Linked DNA regions of Drosophila melanogaster. The protein of the gene in region 1 interacts with the protein of each later gene in a pairwise test. Each region holds a gene or a part of one and is shown on either strand. Other genes may lie near its edges. The genes, in order: Zasp66, RASSF8, CASK and CG10841.

Region 1 (4,936 bases):
CGCAGTACATCTGGCAGTGGAAACTCCTGCGACAGGAGCAGTGTGAGCCACCTGAAGCTGTAATACTGCGGATGCAGCTCTTGGCTCCTGAGTAGCTCGTAAATGCTTAGGTCCTTTGATTTCAGCATATTCGATAGCCTGGCCATCATGAACTTGATGCCGCCTTCTGCGTCGTCTAGTGTTTTAATAAAAAAGTCTCTTATCTCGCTCATCAGGGCGGTAAAACAAAAGAAACAATCAGCCTCAGCGTGGGCGCGATATGTGAGGTCAGGATCGGAGGCCATAACATAGTAAATGGGTCCCACGATTTCGTTCATGCCCTGGACATATCCCTGGCCGGGATTTAGTTTGGCATAGATGAACAAAATGCGTTGCACAACTTCCCAGTGAGCCTCTTGGCCCTCCTCCATGGCGGCATAGTTTTCAACGGAGCGTTTTGTAATCAAATTTATCTATATAGAGCACACATATTCATTAGGTTTGGGGCAGTTCCAGATGGGCTTACTTACTTGCTGCTAAAATCCACACGGTATGCATGAATGAAACAACACATTCTGAGCTTATTGTCTAGCACAATTCCGATCTTGAACTCACCTTTGTCATGCCGAGGCCCTTGCGTTCCACATTCGCCGAACTTAGAACGGCGGGAACCACCCGTTCGTGGAGCCTTCGTCCATGCTCTCCTTTGCTGTGGACCACAATCTCGCAGGGATAATCGGTGGGCTGCTGGAAAAAGGATATGTCCGGGCACAAGCGGCGGACATCCTTGTCGATTTGCAGTAGAAACTCGTTATCATTGAAGAACGTGTTCCACGCGCTTTCGGGTCCCTCGCTCAGCGGATGATCTTGCAGGCCAACGCCCCCCGAATCGACTTTGTCCCCATCTCCTCCGTCTACGCTAGCTCTATTGCTCGAGTGTCCGGGGGGCAGGACTAGCTCCTCGATGAACTGTTTATACAGGGCTCGCTTTTGGGCCAAGGTTGTGGTCCAACTACTGCGCCTAGGCCCCAAATAGCCAAGGAGTAGCTTCCAACTGAGTGCTCGAAAACTCTGCACATCGGGCACACCTGTGGAGTGCTCAGACTTCAAATTTTGAACATTTCAAATGCACTCTTAGCTTTCTACCATTAAATGCCAGTTTCCTGAGTTGTTTCAGGTCAATTAAATCCTGTGGCCCCGCCAAAACATCCTCAAATTCCTTGACTCTGCATTTTGGTTAGAGAAAGTCTTTGTTTACGGAGAAGTTTGGATTAGCTTAGAATAACAGCTTACCGCGCCTTGAAAATAGACATGCTGCGGCTTTATGTGGGCGGGGCTATGCTGAGATCTTGCAGTACCCCTATGTGTAATTAATTAAAGCTTTATCTCAGTTTTATGCTGGGTGAAATCTGCAGGTATAAAACACAACAAAACAATGGGCGTTGCCAGATGGTTCGAGCTCTAATCGATTATTCTCTGCGACTATCGATTTTTGAGTGCATTGGGCGGTAAAATTCAAAGTTTTTAACGATTAAATTTTATAAATAAATCGAAATTTTAAATGGTTTACTGTCCTCGTAAAAATGTATGTAATTACCTTCTGTCTTAATTGTATTGTTCTTTTTAATTAATTAATTGAAAAACTGTTTTTAAGCTGGTTGCCAGATCTTGTAAAGCTGAAGGCGCTATTGTTTAAATTGTAAATGAAAATGATTAAATCATGATTATTAGATATTGCTTGTATGTATTTTCTTTGCTCAATCAAATTTACTAACTGAAACATCAATTAATCCATTCATAATTCTCCGCGTCTCACTATTTCACTGGATTTTGAATGAATAATAATATTCTGTTTTCGCTCATTTTCTCTGATTTTTTCTCCGCTTTTATTTGATTTTTCAATTGCCTACTAGTGCACACACACACGCAGTCGCGAGCAGACGCGTTCGAATCGTAGAATTTAGCGCATATTTCTGAATGTGCGGAGCATTTCTTTTGTTTACTCTAGTCGCTGGCCAGCAATGACGACCAGCAGATCATCGGCGTCCGCGTCATTCAGTCGACCGGCTTTCTGGAAGGTGCCCGGTTACGAATTGCCCACGTCCTATCGTCCACAGCCGACCCCAAAACCGCCGCTCGTACCGCTGCCATCGCCCTGCAGGCGGCGCAGCAGCAGCGGACTGAAGAAGCGCGTCCATTTTGCCGATGAGCAAAACGTGGGGGTAAGTCCAAGTGGCCGAGAAAAGTGGAAGCCCCAACCCCTTTCAAATCGCCCGGCTTGTCAATCATCGCGCGTGTGTTCTTTTCTTATTCGTATTCCAATGTATTTGTGGCCCCAATTCACAACAGGCCGACTCAGAAATCAGTTCAATAACATTTCGCCCCTTGCGGCTCGTAAATTTGTCAAGCCAAATCTAATTAATTGGCCACTGCTGCACTTTTCGGTCAAGTAAAATGGCCCAAAAAAGATGGATGGATCTATATTTCCATTGGCATGACTTTTATACCATTCGCAAGACGTTGGGTGAAGAATTTCGAATGATTTACAATCCGCTCAAGGCTGATCTACAGCAAAAGTCACCGTAAAAACATTACACGAATTCCAATTGAAAATGAAATGAAAACAATTCAAGCCGCAAATAGTAAAAACATTTCAAGAGCCAGCCAAAAAGTGCCGAAATCAGAATGTATAAAATTAAAAATGAAATGGCAAGCCATATATTGTGTATATATTCAGCGAAAAGCCAAAAGGCAGGAAAAGATTTTTCCGCTGTAAACAGTAAAATTGTTGCCAAAATCGAGAGGCAGACAGAATGTTTAATACAAACCAACGTCCTTCAACCGTTGACCCGTTCATATTGCGTATACGTCACGTTGGCCGTAGACTTTTCCATTGACTAATGCATTAAAAATCTAATATGATTTGCTTATTTAAATTGGGCAAGAGTGTCGAATTGGTTGTTGCAGTTGTGCTAGTACCGCCTCAGTAACTAAAACTAATTACACTCTCTCTTGGTTGCCTCATCGTTCGGCAAACAAGTCGGAGAGGAATAAAACACTAATAAAATAGTCGAAAATGTCGAGGAAAAACAGATGCCTAGATACTTGATTTTTATGCTTTTTTGCATCAGGCGAGCTAGCTCATCAAAGCATTCGCCTAGATGATGATATGTGGCATTCATCTCTTCAGGGTCAGCGTGCAACTGGATCAAGTGCTGCCCTAAAATGTGGTCAACGAAATGCAGAATGCCACAAATGCAGGGCACACGTCGAATTAAACAATGGGAACAATGTGGGAAAAGGTTTGAGTTTGTGGTGGCTTGCGGATGCTCTTCGCGATTTGGGTATATATAATAATGAAAATAGTAAAGCTTTAAATACATGGCACACATGCAAGCAATCATGTTTATTAACACTGCGTATGCGTAATTTGATATGCAGCCGCTTATCAAGTATACGCCTAATTATCTTGTGGTAATTATGAGCTTTGCCGAGGTAAATGCTCCTGATGCTTTTTGAATCCACGACATCCGCTCTGAGAAATTCAGAGTGCTCTTAGCGGAAACCCCATTTAACGATTAGGATTCGCCAATCGAATTCATGTTTCTCAGCATGTAGTCGCCGTTGCCGGCGGATATAAGTTGTACATGTATGTACATATGTGTATGTAAGAAACAAACTTGTGGCGCAGTGTACTCTGCTGCCGCTGCTGTTGCTGCAAAAAGGAATACGAATTGTATTTTAAAATTAGTACTTGAGCAGCTTTGCGATCGAACAAAACGCTTAACGGATTGCAATCGCGCGCCGCCTGCGGCTCGGCCAGAAAAGGCCAGAAAAAAAAATAAACAATAAAAAATAAATATATATTTTCGGGATAAACCATCGCTGGATCGGATGAGCGTCTGATCTTCCAGTCTATCTTCAACATCAGGATGAGCCCCAAGCTGCATGAGTTTGCGGTGGTGCTACTGCGCGATGGTCAGGCCACGCCCTGGGGCATTCGTTTGGTGGGCGGCAACGATCTGGACACGCCGCTAATTATCACCAGGGTAAATGGGCGTTATATAACCAGAGAGACTGTCGCCTTGTGGTCGCTTGTGGTCCATTCATCAAAATTGAGCCAGAGAAGAAATGCCTGAGGAAAAGCGATTGGCCTTTGTGCCCCGCATGCCGCTTTGTTCTCAGCGCCCAAATAAACAACAACAAATCAAAATAGCGAAACGGGCACAGCAACAATAAACGCTGCAGCGTTGCCAAAATGCGACGCCAGTAAAACTAATTGAGGCGCAACCGAATAGTCGAAGAAAATTTCCACTTTTCCTACCTACCCCCTTTTCACTGAGCTGCGATGTAAACACACACATTTTGGCGATCATAATTCTGTCTGCATCTATTTAGGCACCCATAAATCTGTGTCAAGGTTGCAACCAGCCCGTTGCACCCTATACTATGTGTGTCTAATGACCTTCCCACCTCCTTTTCCACCCCACCCGTTGCAGGTGCAAGTGGGCAGCCCAGCGCATGGCGAACTTCTAAGAGGCGACATCATCTCGAAGATCGGCGAGTACGACGCACGCGACCTGAGTCATGCGGATGCACAGCAGCTGTTCCGCGGCGCTGGCAACGAGATCCGCCTGGTGGTGCACAGGTGAGCCAGGAAATCCGTGTATCTGCATCAAAGATACCAATCAGTTCCGTATGTTTAACATCAATTTCTTCTACGAGTGTCAAGTGTATTGAGTAAAGAGAACACCTTCATTTTAGTTTTCTGTTTTTTAAACAGGGCTTTTATCATCATAAAAGTTAGTTGATTATAGTCATAGTATAAAAAACTTAACTTAAGTTTTACTCCATTGCCAAAAGGAAACCTTCGTCTTGGATCAATTTGCACTAAGAAACGTTAGGAACTGATTTTTCTTTTGTATGGTCTGTGATATGACAAATATTAATAATTCTA
Region 2 (6,335 bases), on another chromosome or scaffold:
ATGCATGCTTGTATTACGAAGGATTAATCATTTGATCACTCACAGTTGAAAAATGTAAATAAAATAAATATGTTAGCACGAGTTATTTTGTTTACCCAATCTAATATTTAAAGGCCAAGCATCTAACTAAACCCTGCGAAACAGGTTAGCTATACAATCAGACCATATGTTGCAGACCTTTATCTATGGGATTCTACGTGTAAACAAACAAAGCTAATCAGATGATATATGTGTGTTAAACATTCAATTTCCAGTGCTGAGACAGTGAAAGCTCTCATTGAAATGGCTAATTATGCAGTGCTATTATCTCGACCGCAGCTGTATGAGTCTTTTTTGAAAATAGAAAATGCTTAAATGCAGCACGCACGCACACATGCAGCGGCAAAAGGGGCAGCACGGGGGATTCCCCTTTTGAGAGGGGGTCTTCCGGAAACAAGCCAAACATATAGAACACATAGAACGGTGGTGGAAGGAGAAGCAGAAGCAGAAGAGGAGGCAGAGCCAAAAGCAGAAGCGACATGGAAACTAGGTCAACTCTCGACGCCATTGGAGCAGGCGAGTGTCCGACCGAGAGCGACGACAATGACGCCCGTCACACCCAGGCGCAACTAGCTCAAGGCCAAATCCGCACTGCAGCGGGGGGTTTGGGCGAGTCCTTCAACCTTTCGTTGGGCGAATGGTGGGGTGGGCTGCCGTTTTTAGACCGTCCTTGGAAGGGATTTGGATGGGATCTAACCGCATCGCATCTCACTTACCCGCTGCGAAATGCAATGGTGTGGATTTGCGTCCCGCCGTATCCCTGGCGTTCACGGTCTGAGGCGTTATTAGCTTCTTCACCTTGGCGATCTCGCCCGTTTTGCAGGCCTCGAAGAGCTCCCTCAGCGGATCGTTGGCCATGACCGCATCGAGATTAACGCTCAAAATGGCCCGACTTCGGCTGCTGTTGGCCATTGTTGTGCTTGTTTGCTACGCTTTGGCACACACACGCCCCGAAAAAAATAGGCAACAAAAAACAAGCGCAATATTCAGTGGGCTTTCGGGTTTTCCACTCCCAGTCCAGTTCTCTCCTCCAGCAGTTGCTCTGCCCGTCCTACACAAGCCTCGCCGTTGTCCGTCGCTGGCTTGCCCGCATCCTGTATCCAGGTGTCCTGCCTATGCCGCAGGAGCAACAATTTGCCACTGGCTGCCACGCGACCAGCCCTCGTTTTTGCTTAATATTTAATGCACAATTGCAGACCCAAAATCAATAGGATTTCTTTGGTTCGACACAGCACGGTTGCAAGGATCGCGGTTGGCTACGATTCGTTTTTACTGAGACTGCGACCAACTCTGGGACTAGCTCCCTGGTACTTGGCCTCCAAAGCTCTGGGCACGGACGATTATTTCCGGATTAATTCACTGCTCCGCGAAATATTGCATTGTTTTGTGACCGAGTAAGAGTGACCGTTCGCGGGGTGGTCGAATATTCCAGGTTGAGTCAAGCGGTGTGACCAGGCGACGGGGCAAGCCATTCTGAAAAAATACTGAAGTCCTCGAATCACATAAGCTTTTCCATTAATTATATTTTTTAAATTTAATAGCTTATGTTCTCACAAGGTTTTACACAAATTTGTGCTTCAGTGTGCACTCACTATTTGGTGAAAAGCGAAAAGACGTTTGCATCTATATTGTGTTATAAGAAACAATTTTTTTTGTTAACCAAATAGACAATATTCAATTGGTGGTACAAAAATTAAGATCATCATTTTTATGAGCTTAAATTAGAATTCTTAAATTAGAAAAGGCCATGTAGGAATTTCAATTATCCTAATATAAGCACATAAGCCTATTACTAGGGAAAAAATCTCAAAAAAATTTTTTAAAATAATAGCAAGTACCTGTTACAACAACATGCAATCCCAATTGGCATTGCTATCGATAGCTTGAAAAACACCTGTTTGGCCATCCCTGGTTGGCTGTTGGTGCAATCGATTTTTGGCATCGACTGGATGCCCATGCCAACAACAATGTTTGCTTTTAAAATTTAGATTAAATCCGTTAAAAATCCGTGAAATCAAAACAAAAGCAGTGGAGCTGCTTCACAACAAGATTATCGTGCTTACTAGAAAGTGAAGAACCACGGAGTTACCGCGCCGGAAGTACAAAAGTAATCACCAAATCGGAAATCCGAAAAGTGAATCAGAATTTTTCTAGCTCACACACACACGCGCGCATACCCGCACGCCCAGCAAACACTCATGCAAGCGTATGGAACCAGTCGTGTTGTTGTTGTTGCTGTGAATAAGTGCAAGTGAAGAAGAAGCAGAAACTGTGATCGGAAAATTAAGCAAAAAAGAAAAACAGGCGAGGAAAAGTGGGGTTGGGGAAAAGCAGACGGAAAAGTGGAAAGGCGGAGTGCAGCTAACACGCTTCGCTGGCTGCGCGACAGCAGAACGCCAGTCAAGCGCCAAAAACCATTAGTAGAACCCCATTTCCAGCTGGAGCGGCACAAGAAAGCAATTTTCTGGTAGCAGAAACACCAAGAAACGAAAATAATTGGCCGATCTTTAGAGACTCGACTCGACGACAATTAGCCGGAATGGAGCTGAAAGTTTGGGTCGAGGGCATCCAGCGGATAGTTTGCGGCGTTACAGTGAACACCACATGTCAGGTATGTGAGCTACAGCAGAGGTCAAAATAATAGCACTATTATCTTGTTAAAGCATTTTACACTGCTGCAGTGCTGTTAATGTGACCCGAACTGTATGCGCTCTGTTTGCTAGTCAGTTTGCCCTAATTATCGTTTTATTTTCCACAGGATGTGGTTTTTGCTTTGGCCCATGCCACTGGAAAAGTGGGCAGATTCACTTTAATCGAAAGGTGGCGCAATAACGAACGCCACCTGGCCCCCAATGAGAATCCAATGAAGCTGCTGCTCAAATGGGGCGAGTATGCAAATGATGTGCAGTTTATATTACAACGTTCGGAAAACAAAACACAGCAGCAGCAGCAGCAACAACAACAGCAGCAGCAGAACAATAATAATAATAACAACTATGCTGTGATGACAACAACAAAAAAGCCGCTGGGGCCGAACAACAATAACAATAATAAGCCAGCGCCCACTTTGCTAAAGCAAAAGTCGAACGTCGAACTCAGCTACCGCACAAAGGAATTGAAAAAAAGTTTCGGGTGGGTGGTTTTTATATGCTAGTTAGTTTGGAAACTACCCCTTAAAGCGCTTACCTAGCCCTAATTGTTAATAGGCTAACAAACTGTGTTTAAATATGCACCTGTGCGGCTACCATCAACTGACAAAACTTGTCTCTTTCAGGGGCCACGATGCCAAGCAGTTTGACAACATTGGAATCGTCAAGGGAATTCCGCAGCAGCAGCAATTGCAGTCACAACAAACGGCCATGGGAGCACCGGCGAGTCCACCACAGGAGCAGCTGACACCGCAGGATAACAATAATGTAGCACCACTGGTGCCAAAGCATGAGAAATCGCTGTCCAATCCGCTGGACATGACCAGCACGGGTAGCAATCCACCCGCACCTACAAATGGCTACAATGACTTCTACAACAATAACAGCAGCAGTAATCAGCATATATACAGCCAGCTGAGCAAATCCAGCAATGAACTCCGACGCTCCAGTCCCAACGAAATGTACTACAACAATAATAACAATATTGTTAATAACAATAACAACTCACCGGAGCTGTACAAGCAAACGCCGACGATTTCCGCGAATGGAGCTCTAGTCCCACCACCATATCGTGACCCGCCACCCCCGAGAAACAGCCCCATGTGCCAGGGGCAGCGTTTGGCCAGCAGCAATGCGGACACCATGTCCAATGCCTCCTCCTCGACGAATCCGTTTCTCAGCGACTACGATCAGCATAGCAGCCACAACACTAATAGCATCAACAATAATAGCCAGGCCATGGAGGAGGGTGAGCCCATGTTCCAGACCACGCAGTATAACGATTTGCTGCAGCTCATCAAGTTTCAGCGGGAGAAGATCACAGCCCAGCAAATGGAATTGCAAAAGGTACAAATATTCAAGTTTCTAAATTGATTTGGAATGTTATTATTTTATTTTTGTTTTATCTGCTTAGTTCGATACGGAAATAGTTTATTTGGAGAGCAAAGAACGCGACCACGCCCACGAGTTGGATGCTATTTCGCGTGAGATTTCCAAGGCGGATCAAATCTTTCGGCAAGGAAGCGAACAGCTCCAGACTCTGCAGTATGTGGAAGAGGAAAACGAATTGGTCAAGCAGCAAGAGAAGACTTTGAAATCAGAAATAGCTCTACTGCGATCCAAGCTGGCCAATTGCGAAACAGAGCTGCTACAATGCAAGAACAAAATGCGCTTGCTGATGGATGACATTGAGCTGGAGCAGCAACATCAACAGCAGACCAATAGGTGAGTGCATAGCAATTTACTTGCTTTGTTTTAAGTTTTTCACACTTCTTGGTTGTTTCAGGCAAACTGTGGAGCGAGACTTCTTGATGGAAATGGAGCGCATTCAGAGTGAAATCGACCAGGCTCTGCACAACACTGACACTTCAAACAAAACTGCAGATAGTTTAAAGAAGGAACTACTCATGATCGAGCATGCCATCGCGGACAAGAAGCGGCAGGTGGAGCAGCTGGTCAACGAGATGAAGGAGGTGAATTTGCAGAGCCTGACTGTGACCACCACGGAGGAGATCAAGCATCTATTGGAAGGACCCAACAAGCAGGGCAGCAGCCGGCGGATCATCGGTTCGCCCAGGCAACTTGAAACGGCGGTTCCAACCAGTAAAAATCCTCATGGTGTGTGGGTTTAAGTCACACATACCCAGAACTATTTTTCTAAACGTATTTCTCCTCCAACAAAATAATGTTTTTGGGAACAAATTGATCAACATATCTTGAATGCATAATGGAGTTGAAACGAAATGGATTCCTTATGAATATCACAATTTTAAACAATATTCTAAAAATATTTACAATAATTAACGTGCTTGATTGTTGTTTTAGTATGTTTACATTCCAATCACACTCTATGGATCTCTCAATGCAATGATATATGTTACAAATTTGAAATCACAATCGTTTTATTACTCTACATTCCGCACTGTACTTTGTATTTAATAGTAGTTAATGAGTCCCATATTCACATGCCCTAATCTTAATTTTGTGTGCTATACTTTTGGTTAATTTTTGCTGCTAGTCTACGTGTTAACAAAAACCCTTTCCAATCTCTACAATTCGCCATTAGTTGTTAACTTGACAATGAATTTTAATTGTTGCAATAATTCGAGAGTATCGTAATTTAAAAACGCCTTTCTAACGAATAAGTAGTGCCCTTAGTGATTTGTCTCCTACAGAATTATTCATTGTAGAATTCACAATTCGAATTACACAAAACTTATTGTACTTAGCAATTAGCGCAGCTTTAAAAAAACAAATTAGCAATGCTTTGTTGAAAAGTTTAACTTTTAAAGTGCTTAGCCTTAGCCACCGGATATCGAAACAAAAGACCGAAGCATTAACAATTGCAAAGGTATCAAGCATTAGTACATACATAATTGCTAGCGTACAATTAAAAGACAACCCACAAGTCGCTTTGATGTATTATGTTTTTAATTAGCAATATTTAATATTTACACAAACTGATGATGATAGTGAACTACAAAACACCAACGGAAATGCAATTTATCGAATATTATATATTACTATTACATTTAAACTAAAAACGATTTAGAACAAATTGTAATTGCATTACATCTAATTAGCTAATAAATACATTTTTATGATTTTCTCGAAACGAACTGTCTGTATTTACATTTGGTTTTGGTCTTTTGAAACACCACGAATTTTCCGCAAATGAAATCAACGGTCAGCCCGAAGTCCTGTGCCACACGAAGCTAGCTGCTCGGCCGCTTTTCTTGTGCGGAGGGAAAAACAAAATCAGCAACACATGCTGCCACCAGCTTCAGTTGGCCGCTGTGCTCGAACGCGTTTGGTCCTTTTGTCCTTGTCGATATCCTTCGCTCGCGACTCAGACTTCCTGGCGAAGCGCGCGCTACTTTCAATTTTCAAAAAGTGTCGCCCAGTGAACGGGTCAGTGAAAGTGGCCCGTAGGAAATAAAGAGGCAAAGGAGCATACATTTGAATGGTCCGTTTTTGGGGGCATCCTATCGCATTGACACAATCGACAAAGTGGTCGAGGGAGAGCGTTAAAGTGGCCCGCCAGCAAAAAGGACGAAGGAGCGCTCCGTTTTTATGGCCCTCTTCCACACCAAATGATGTTCAATTGCGATGATTGCGATAATGAGAGTCCCAGTTTCTCTGTTTTGG
Region 3 (4,757 bases), on another chromosome or scaffold:
TTTTCAAGATTCGCGTTTTAAATAAAAAAACAAAATTTTTTTTTCTTTTCTATATATTTTAGCTGGCTGATACAAGTAGGTAAAACCACTTAAGAATGAGGAAGGTGTGTACTTTTTAGTTTATACCCAAACTATTTGATTGATCTCACAAATTATGAAAGAAGTTGTATAAATTAAAAAAAAAATTAATTACTTTTTTATTATTTCTGAATATTTCATAGTGCGTATAATTTAATTGGCTGCTATTTTACAATCGAAAGGTGGACATTAGTGGGTGACCACTGTTGTTATTGCTGATCATTAACACTTGTTGTTTTTGCTGCTCATCTCGAAATGGTTGTTGGTGCTTATCCTTTTCGACTATATCCCCCGTAGTAATATGGCCATATTGAGTTCATTTTCATCAGGTCTTTCTTCATTTGGCTGATGGTTTTGTGTTTGTTGCTCCCTTATTGGCTTGTTGTTTCTCTTGCATCTTATCTGTGTGTTGTTGTCGTTGGGCGTTTGGCGGTGATTGTTGTTGTTGTTGCTGTTCGAGGTTTTGTAATTGATGATGTTTATGTTTGAGTATTGGCCCCCGTCACCAGCCCCTTCCAACTGATTTAAAGATTACGCACCTACGGTTTTTATTTTTTATTTTCGAGGAGTGCGTGTGGGTTTTCCTCGTCTTCGGTTGAGGGACTCCTGTGTGTGTGCCTGGCATATTAATGCCAAGATCTTAATTTATTCTAATGGGTTTATCAAATGCTGTGGGGTAATAATAATAATAATAGATAAAGTTGAATGGCGCGAAAGAGAAGTAATGTAAATAATATGGTAATATTCAATGAGCTGTGAACGAGCCTGGCGATAAAGTAAGTTGATAAAGGTTCTGTAGTGAAAATCCCTGTATTAACACACTGGTGGCTTAGTCCAGTTAAATAAATCGTGAATCATTTTTGAAGGGGAAAATGTTTACTTTCAAGTTGATGAATGGTAATTGGCATCGTATTGCCGATAAAACTGGAAAGTGTTCGAAATTCGTATGTGCAATATTCCACAATAGCTTTATGCACTTGCTTGCGTACCGCATAAATATTTACCTCCATTTGACTTCACTCAAGCGGAAACAATTCAGTGTGCAATGAATTATCTTACTTTCGAGTAAATTTATTAAGCATGCAGTGGGTATTTATCAAAGGAAAACAACTGCCTTTTGCTGATAAGTCAAGCAAATAAAAGCATATGCAAAATGCTACCGAAGAGAAAGGAGCAGGAAAATATAATTTACTTTTTCTTTAACAAAATTAAAGTTTTAATAGTATTTATTTTCAATTTCGATAAAACATCTGTGTCGTTATGAATGACTATATTCTTAACAATATTCCAAAATTATACTTTCTCGTCCCCAAAACTTTTTTTCAAAAACTTCCGCGCAAATTTTAACAGACCAAATAAAGTTAATAACAAAATGACAGAAAAGCTTAGATACCAACGGGTTTCTGGTATTTTTCCAGTATAACCAGTTGCTTGATTCAAACAAACTTTCTTGAATTAAAACTTTGATTAACGAAGTAAGTTGCTGCAGTACCACCCTTAAATTTATTTTAAAAACAATATTTTTAATGAACACAGGTTGGTATCAATTTTCAATGGGAGAGCCGTGAACCGACTCCAAGTTCCGAACCAATCCAGCAATGCACCTGCAGCCCTGGAATTCTAGTTCGCGGCGAACCGGTTCAGTTGCAACCAGTTCTTCGCCAATCAATTCCTCACGGGCCGTGTTTGTTTTAAGTTAAAATTAGTAAATTACCCAATGCAATCAGCTTGCCAGGCGATTCGTGCTGCGCACCTAGACAATCGAGTGCTAATGCGATTCGCTAAAATGCCAAAAACCAGCGGCCGTTGAAGAATCGCTGCCAAATCGGTGGGTTTTCGTACATAAAACTATATGCGAATTGTTCGTGCCAGTGTGTGTTCGTGTGTGTGTGTGTGTGTGTGGTGTGAGTGTGGCCCCCTCTATGTGTGGCCGATAAAGGGGGCGGTGTCGTTGATAAGGGGGCGTGGAACATGAGCAATGCAAATCCTTTAGACAAAGAATCAATTTGCCAATTGTGCGACACTCGAGAGTCTCAAAAAGTCCTAAAAGCAGGGCCAAATGCACACACATAGTCAGTGAGTGAGTGTATGTGGGTGTGGGTGGGTGCGTTAGTGAGGTGGGCGGTAAGGTCGTGTGGAAAGTGTCAAGGCATTTTACAACAGCGGCACACGAGCAAGGTAAAACCCTCGAGCCCGAATACTAAAACCGAGCCAAAAACACCGCGCCCCATGCGCAGCTCTGCATTAAACATGACTACCAGAAAGTCCTTCGCGGGGATTCCCCGCAAATGCTCCGTCCTGCTCTCGCAGTCGCAACTCAGTTCTCCACATTTCGTGTGTGCATCGTAAATTGTTGCACATTTAAATATTCATGCAGCCCGGGCAGAAAGCATAGCTTATATTTTTTACGATTACAATTTTGGTGCTTTACACGAATTTCCCACGGCGCCGGCGCACTTTACATCCATGCTCGCCATCTTTCTCGCACTCCTTCGCTCTCTTTCACACTCTCTCGCTCTCTGGCTTTCTCCTTTCGGATTTTTGGAGTGCCATCAAAGTTTTGAAAAGTATGTTCAAGTGCTGGACCAAAAGGCATAATAATAGTATGGCCAAGACAAAGGTAGCGCCTCCCATCCACCCTCCCCCCCTGCGAACTTTCCCCGCGAACATCCTTGGAACGAGACCCTCGAAAAGGACACATTCTGCAGGTCCTGCTGGCTTGTTTACCTTTTCAGCTGGCCATCATTTCCGTTGCAAAATTCACAACGCCCACTGTGCGGGGATACTTCCTTCCTACCATTGGCACTTTCGACAGCATTTTGTGCATTTGTGGTGTGTGCCGCCTGTAATTGATTGGGGTTTACACCTGATATGAGTGTGATTGACATATCAAACAAGTTTCGGCCAGGCCAGTCTCATTTCCGTTGCGACACCATTAACAGTGGTCCCTCGAAAAGTGTTCCCATCACACAAGTGTCAACACGCCAGCCCAACTTTATAGTGGCATTTTCAATTTGATTGATTCAGATAGCATTATAAACTTAACTTAGTTTGTAAGTAAGATTACAAAATATTTAGGAAATTATTAGCAAATTTTCTTGATTAAAATCTGTGTATAATTTTTCACAAATGTAAACAAATTTGTTTATATTTGCGTCATCTGCTTGACAGAATTCTCGCAAAGCTTCTTGACAGTTTCTTAATTAGACGCCAAATAAATCTGATTAGCGGCCTTCAACTAATGGAAAAACTCACCTTCACCATTTTCACTTGTTATATTTTTCCAGCGCAAAATGCATTCTTAACATCAGCAGCTACGAAAACAGCAACAGCATTAGCGGCAACAACGAATCAACGACACCAATAACAATACCATTAACAACAAATCATCAGAAGAAACCGAAGGAAAACGCTCAAAGTTTTGGAGTTGCTCACTGGCCGCTTAGTTTTTTGTTTATTTTTTATGTTCGTTTTTGGAGGGCAGTAGGCGACGACGGGCAAAGGAAGCGGGAGAAGGAAAAGCGACGGACACGAAAAACAGGACACAACTCATCAATATTCGAAAAAGCAATTGAGTCGAGGCATCAATTCATCAATTATTCAAAATGACCGAAGACGAAATTCTCTTTGACGACGTCTACGAGCTGTGCGAGGTCATTGGCAAGTAAGTTAGCGCCCCACCGGCTATATCTTTAGCCGATTCTGCTGCTGACAGCTGGCATCCATGGCCATTATCTCATTATGTATTATGTATCCGCCCCGTATGCCCATCCCACCCACCCAGAAGCCGTAAATCATGCAACTATTGGCCTGGGACGAAGCCAGCTCCCCTCTATAAAAAACTTTCCCAAACGCCCAACTTTTGCATTATTCAAAAATGTATGACCAAACATTTTCTGTGCTAGTTACTTTTGCTGTGATCATCATAGTTTAGCCAGAAGTTCATTCACAAAGCTGTCAATGTTATTAAGTTGAACTTTGTTTAATTTCGTTGGAAAAATATTTTTCACTGATGTTGAAAATGTTCCATTAACACACTTCTAAAGTTTATTGAAAATGAAGTGTGAGTCACTAAATAGCACGTTTTTTAATTTTTTGCAATTTATAATCTATAAACTATAAGCAAAATGACGACCTTGAATCGCAATAGTTTTCCAAATTCAGCTTGGTGACATAGTTCAATAAAAATTAATCACGCTCATAAAACAAGATGATAGGAAATCGTTGCTTGACTTTAAATGAGTTATTGAATAGGAATTTGTAAGAAAATTAAAATTTATTTGTAAAATAATCATCAGTAATGTTATGGCAAGCTTTTGTATTAAAACCCCACGTTTGTAACTACAAAGAGAATACATAGTTGATTAAATTTCCTCTTTCTCAAGTATCTTGTTTGCTTTTAGACGCTCGGAAAATATAAATATTTTGCTTTTGTCGAAGCAAGATAAAATTTTATTCGCTCCCATTTAGACACAATCAACTTTCAATTGAAGTTTAATCCGAATTTACTTTATTCCCCCCCCATCCGGGATTGTTTCTTACAGAGGACCTTTCTCCATCGTAAGGCGATGCATACACAGGGAGTCCAATCAGCAGTTTGCCGTCAAAATCGTTGATGTGGCCAAGTTCACAGCGAGTCCTGGACTGAGCACAGCGGGTGAGGATTATATACACAATAC
Region 4 (5,222 bases), on another chromosome or scaffold:
ATAATTTAACACCGCATCAAATCAAACGGGTCAGGCAGTAAGGACAAAACACGAGCAAATCGATGTCCTGGCCATCAACCCACACGCACATAGCCCCGGGCCAAAAGCCAAATGCCCCAACCAGAAACCAGCTCCGGCAGCTCAAAAGCCCGTGGCTTCAATGGCTGAGTAAATCAAAAATGTGCAATAAAAATTGCAATAAAGCACGCTTCAAAGGTAACGCAGGGGGGTTGTGCGGAATTGGATGGCTGCAAACCTCATCTAAGCAACGATAATGATTGCAATTCATTTTTATGACTGCCAACTAACCGTTTCCGGGTATTACGATTCTGCAAACCAATTTGCCGACACGCATATAAACAAATTTAATTAAACACGGAGATTTGCAACAAAACGGAGCGTAATAAAACCATTTTATGCTAAACGGGTCAATTTAAATCACACCTAATGTGCCGCTTTAGATTTATGAAATTAACATCCAATGATGCTATATGCTTATTAAAATTATTGAATGCGGTTTGAAGGACCAAAATTCTAGAATTTTTGACTTATAATGTAGAATCATAAGTTATAGTTGTGTATATTGCAGAATAGTTAAATGCTTATTGTAAAACATTTAATGCGGCTTGGAGGACCAAAATACTAGTATAATTCTATAGAAATTATATAGCTTTATTTTTGCTAAATATGTGCATTTTAACCTTTAGCATTTTCATGCAATCATGCTACATTAATATCACTGCACCAACAATGATATTTACCTAGGCATTTGGCGCATTGACTCCATAAGAGTGCGACATTCGTGACTCTGGGAACAAAAAGGGCATCTAAACAAACACTAGAAATGCCAGCAAGGACCGCCCTTTAGCTTATTTTTAGTCGCGTGGCCAGAAGTGGCCAGAATGGCCAGTTTGAAGTGGGCAGGTGTACGGGTGTATGGGCACCTGTCGTCGCCAATCAACCTTGACTAGAACTGGGCGTTGCAGGGTGGTAGGGTCACTGGGTTAGGTTACTAACATAAGAGTCAGTTCTGCACAAGGTTGCCTTTTGCTGCTGCCACACTGAGGTAAATATTTTGAGGCAACATCAGGTGCGTAAAAATGTCAATAGAGTCTAAAAATCACTTTGAACGGTGTTTAAAAGTAGGAAACTATATTAACAATATATTAACACTGGATTCTTTTCTTAACTGCTATTAAGAGACTTTAAAAAATTATACAATAATTTCCAAATGTTTATATACATTTTAAAATACTTAGTTTGTAATTGCTATTTTTCCAGTGATTTGTTACTGTTAGTTGGCTTTAGATGCGGTTTGCTTGGTTGGTTGGCCAGCGATTTTCCAATAAAATGAAATTGCATTTGATGATGCCAGGATGTTTTTTTTTTTTCAATCATTGTGATATTTTTCCCTCACCCCTTTTGTTTTCCCATGCTGTTTTCCTTCACCCCTGCCATTTATAGAAAATTGAATCAAAGTGTTGGTGGCATTGCGACAAACTGCTGGACGAATGAGCGCGTGATTTGAGGCGATTTGTAGAAAAGTGAAAGCCGGCTCCTGGCCACCGGGACCCAGGTCCCAGGTCCTTGCGTCCTGCCAGCGAAGGAAGTGATTAGTGTAGCACTGCTCGACGGCTTCCTTGCGTGAGTCGCGGCATCCTGGGAGAAACGGGAACAAAGCAAACACGGCGCAGCGGAGAAATCCAATTTGTAATGGCCAAGCTGGCCAAGTAGCCCTTGATTTCATTGTTTCAACGGGTTACCGCTAACACACACACACACAAACAGACACCCTTACACCTTTTAAGGAGTTTTGTAAACATTTTCCACATATTGTGCTGCAAATCGAAAAATAAAAAATCCGAAAAAAGTTTTTACCAAACCAAGATGCATTCGACCAAGATTAAAGAGGGTGATGACAGAGTGAGTTGTCCATTCTATTGCCAGTCATATGTGTTGGCCATTAAACGTATTCAACTAATTTGAATGCCACCGTTTAGGAGGAGATGGAGCTAAATCAAATCTGGCGAGGATGTCGTAAAATCCAGGGCGCCATTTTTCGTTATAACTTTGACATCTGCGCCGACTTAAAGCAGCATGATCCCTGTTGCAGTGGCTTCGTGTCCGGTGAGCACATCCTTCGGATGTATTTCCCATTTTTATTGCGCCCCCTTTTTACGACCTAACCCATCTACTCCAGAGCCCATTTTCACCGCCGTGCTGGGCAAGTATCGCAAGGTGGCCGGATTGTCCGAGTCGGAACTCCGGGATGTCACTGACTATTTCCAAATTCGAGATGGACGCGTAGCGTATCGTCAGTTCTGCAAGGTCGTCTGCAGCGAAAGTAAGTTGGTTTTTGGTTAAATTGTATCAATGCTATATCTATTTAACATATAATTTTAGCACTGCATAAGACCGCCAAAAGTGATCTAGCTACGGGACTGGAGTGGAACGATCCCTGGCATGTGAATGTTGTACCCCAGCCGGAGGATCGACGACGTCTCTGCCTGATCCTGCTCAAGATTGCCCAACTATGCAATATTCCGCTCATGCCCTACTTTCAGGACTACGAACTAGTAATTGATTTGCTTAATCATATATCCACCATATTAATAAGCTATTACATTTATTTATAGATTGCACAAAATGTTGGAGTTGTTACCGTTGCGCACTTTTCTCGTGTGCTGCACTTTATGAAGATACCACTTTCGGAGTCCGATTTTCTGCTCCTCCTCAGACGCTATATGAAGGATGGTTACCTGGTCAACTATGTGGCTTTCCTCAAGCACATCGATAATATTATAGCATACCTGGGCGAGCATCATCTGCTGGACAACTCACATGTAAGTGCTAACTTCAATGCTAAAGAATTCGCGCGTATGATGAAATGTGTTCCGAATGTAGGATATTATCAAGGACTTTCCGGGACGTTTAGTGGACCTAGAACTTTCCCAACTGCCAGCTATTGATGGTTGCAAGGCAGTGCATCCAATCTTTCCCGATGCCTGCAGTACACCCAAAAAGAATCGAAATCAGTGCGACATTCTGTTCTGCATTCAGAACTACATCTACAAGAACCAAGTGCGCACCTCCGAGTTCCTAGAGTGCTATGACAGCCTAAACGTGGGCAGCATCACCAAGAATCAATTTGAGCGCGGTCTATCGAACATGGGAGTGGGAAAATATCTGACCCAAAGGGAAATGTCCATTCTGCTGGAACGCTACACTGATCCCGTGGATATCAATCGAGTGCGTTGGCGCAATTTCGCTGATGAGATCGATACAGGTGAAGAGTAATGAACACTATGAGCACTAAACTCTCTATATATATATATGTATTATATTTTTAGTATTCACCATTAAGAACCTGGAGAAGATGCCACAGTGTGTCGTGGAATCGCCACTTCGTCACATCCAGGAGTTGCCCAGACCCGGCGCCGTGCCCTGGGAGTCTGTGTCGGCTAATGTTCGTGATCTGTGTGAGGATGCCATGGCCAAGATTAAGATACGCATCCGCAATCGTCGCCTCTATCTGCATCCATTCTTCCGAAGCTACGATAAGTAAGTTTACCGATACCGATCTTAAATGAAGATTGAACTATTTGGCGTTTCCTTTCCAGACTCAACAGTGGACATGTGCGTTGCAACATTACCAAGCAGATTTTTCGCACCAATGGCATCCTTCTGTCCGATCCGGAGCAGGACTCTGTGCTGAGTCGGTATGGAAACGAGCTGGGCTTTTGCTACACCAAGTTTTTGGACGACGTCGATCCGGCGGAGTATGCCATGCCAGCGCTGGTCACCAAGCAGCAACTGGTGGAGTGTCCACCGTTTGCGAGAGACAATTTGGATCCCGAGGATGTCAGCGAGGAGGTGATCGTGCGCATCCTTACGAACGCCAAGCGACAGGCTGTGGTCAAGAGCGTGGCCGTCATCGAGTTCATGAAGGACTACGATCGCCATCGCGAGGGCGAGATCCTTGAATCGGACTTCAAGCGAGCCCTGGATAACTCAAGTGTAATCATCAAGGAAGAGGAAGCTAACATCTTGTGCAACATGTGAGTAATTCGCAACTTGTATATGTATTATATTTCATTTATATCCTTTTAACATGACCAGCTTCCGTTCACCGAATCGCGTGTCCTGCATTCGCTATCGCGATTTCTGCAAGGCCCTCGACGAGATCTTCATCCAACTGGACACGAACATGGGTGACCAGGTGGTGACCGCCGTGCCACTGCTCCATTTGCCCAATCTGGACTGCGTCGACTGCTTCCTGAGCTTCGACGAGCGAACCATCTGCTCGCAGGCCCTGATGAAGTTGGCCCGCAAACCGGACGAGATCTCCAATCTGAGTCAGCTGTTCAAGGACTTCGATCGCGAACAGTGCGGCTCGATCACGCAGAATCAATTCCTGCGCGGCATCACGGTGCGCGACATGCATGTAATGCTGAGCAGCCGCGAGTTCCAAGCGATCTGCAAGTGCTTCGGCGTGAAGAAGGGCATGTGCATGGAGTTCAACTACCGGGAGTTCCTGAAAATCCTCGACGTGCTCTTTGCCACCGGTCAAATGAAGCGCAACTATTAGTGGCGCGAAAACTAACCCTCTCCAAATTCCAAGTGTATCATTTGTCCAAATTTTTGAATGTTATCAGTAAAATAAAAAAAACAATTGGTGGATTCTTTTAATTTAGGTTTCTTTAATGTAATGTTCGCTTTAAAACTGATCTCCTATCATTCAATTAAGTTAGGTTGTAATTTCGCTTGAGAATGTTTAATTTCTTTTTTTTTTTAAGGGGGAAAATCCACGCTTCCATGTATTGATTTCCTCGAAATGCTACCTAAACTGCCCGTCCAGCACACATCGGCATTTACATATATTAATGCCATCCATTCAGCTTGACGGTCGGACGATTTCATAAAGATTTTCATATAGCTATAGTAGTGTATACATAGATAGATTTGATTTAACAATTCGCATTCTTGCAGTGGTCTATACAATTGTGGGTGTGTACGTAGAGAGTGTGACTTTAGATTTTTATTAAAATATAAATCTCTTCCCTTTCAGAAGTGTACATAAATATAGATGTATTATGTATTATGTATGTATATATGTAGTCTATGAGCGTAATACACATATCCGGAAAACAAAAACTAATATCGTTTCCGCTTTCTCTGCTCTGTACTAGTATATTATGTAATATGGTGGTTTGTTTGTTGTA

The links.
Region 2: the proteins of Zasp66 (region 1) and RASSF8 interact in a two-hybrid assay, tested with the Drosophila melanogaster proteins (one large-scale study listed by BioGRID).
Region 3: the proteins of Zasp66 (region 1) and CASK interact in a two-hybrid assay, tested with the Drosophila melanogaster proteins (one large-scale study listed by BioGRID).
Region 4: the proteins of Zasp66 (region 1) and CG10841 interact in a two-hybrid assay, tested with the Drosophila melanogaster proteins (one large-scale study listed by BioGRID).

The regions. Positions count from the first base shown.
Region 1 is NT_037436.4:8,622,483-8,627,418, forward strand, and holds the start of Zasp66 (Z band alternatively spliced PDZ-motif protein 66), read left to right. Parts: upstream 1-1,888; 5' UTR 1,889-2,000; coding exon 2,001-2,201; intron 2,202-3,726; exon of another isoform or gene 3,727-3,911; coding exon of another isoform or gene 3,912-4,028; intron 4,029-4,478; coding exon 4,479-4,627; intron 4,628-4,936. Other genes in the region: GAPsec (GTPase activating protein, SECIS-dependent read-through), read right to left, coding at 1-452, 595-1,067, 1,126-1,205, 1,273-1,292.
Region 2 is NT_033777.3:25,659,837-25,666,171, forward strand, and holds RASSF8 (Ras association domain family member 8), read left to right. Parts: upstream 1-1,958; 5' UTR 1,959-2,578; coding exon 2,579-2,650; exon of another isoform or gene 2,651-2,797; coding exon 2,798-3,171; intron 3,172-3,313; coding exon 3,314-4,034; intron 4,035-4,101; coding exon 4,102-4,412; intron 4,413-4,473; coding exon 4,474-4,819; 3' UTR 4,820-5,804; downstream 5,805-6,335. Other genes in the region: Tnks (tankyrase), read right to left, coding at 756-951.
Region 3 is NT_033777.3:21,819,632-21,824,388, reverse strand, and holds the start of CASK (CASK), read left to right. Parts: upstream 1-1,714; 5' UTR 1,715-1,906; intron 1,907-3,365; 5' UTR 3,366-3,683; coding exon 3,684-3,742; intron 3,743-4,622; coding exon 4,623-4,735; intron 4,736-4,757.
Region 4 is NT_033777.3:13,630,175-13,635,396, forward strand, and holds CG10841 (uncharacterized protein), read left to right. Parts: upstream 1-1,767; 5' UTR 1,768-1,887; coding exon 1,888-1,923; intron 1,924-2,000; coding exon 2,001-2,127; intron 2,128-2,200; coding exon 2,201-2,344; intron 2,345-2,403; coding exon 2,404-2,576; intron 2,577-2,636; coding exon 2,637-2,843; intron 2,844-2,904; coding exon 2,905-3,286; intron 3,287-3,350; coding exon 3,351-3,561; intron 3,562-3,620; coding exon 3,621-4,058; intron 4,059-4,119; coding exon 4,120-4,588; 3' UTR 4,589-4,687; downstream 4,688-5,222.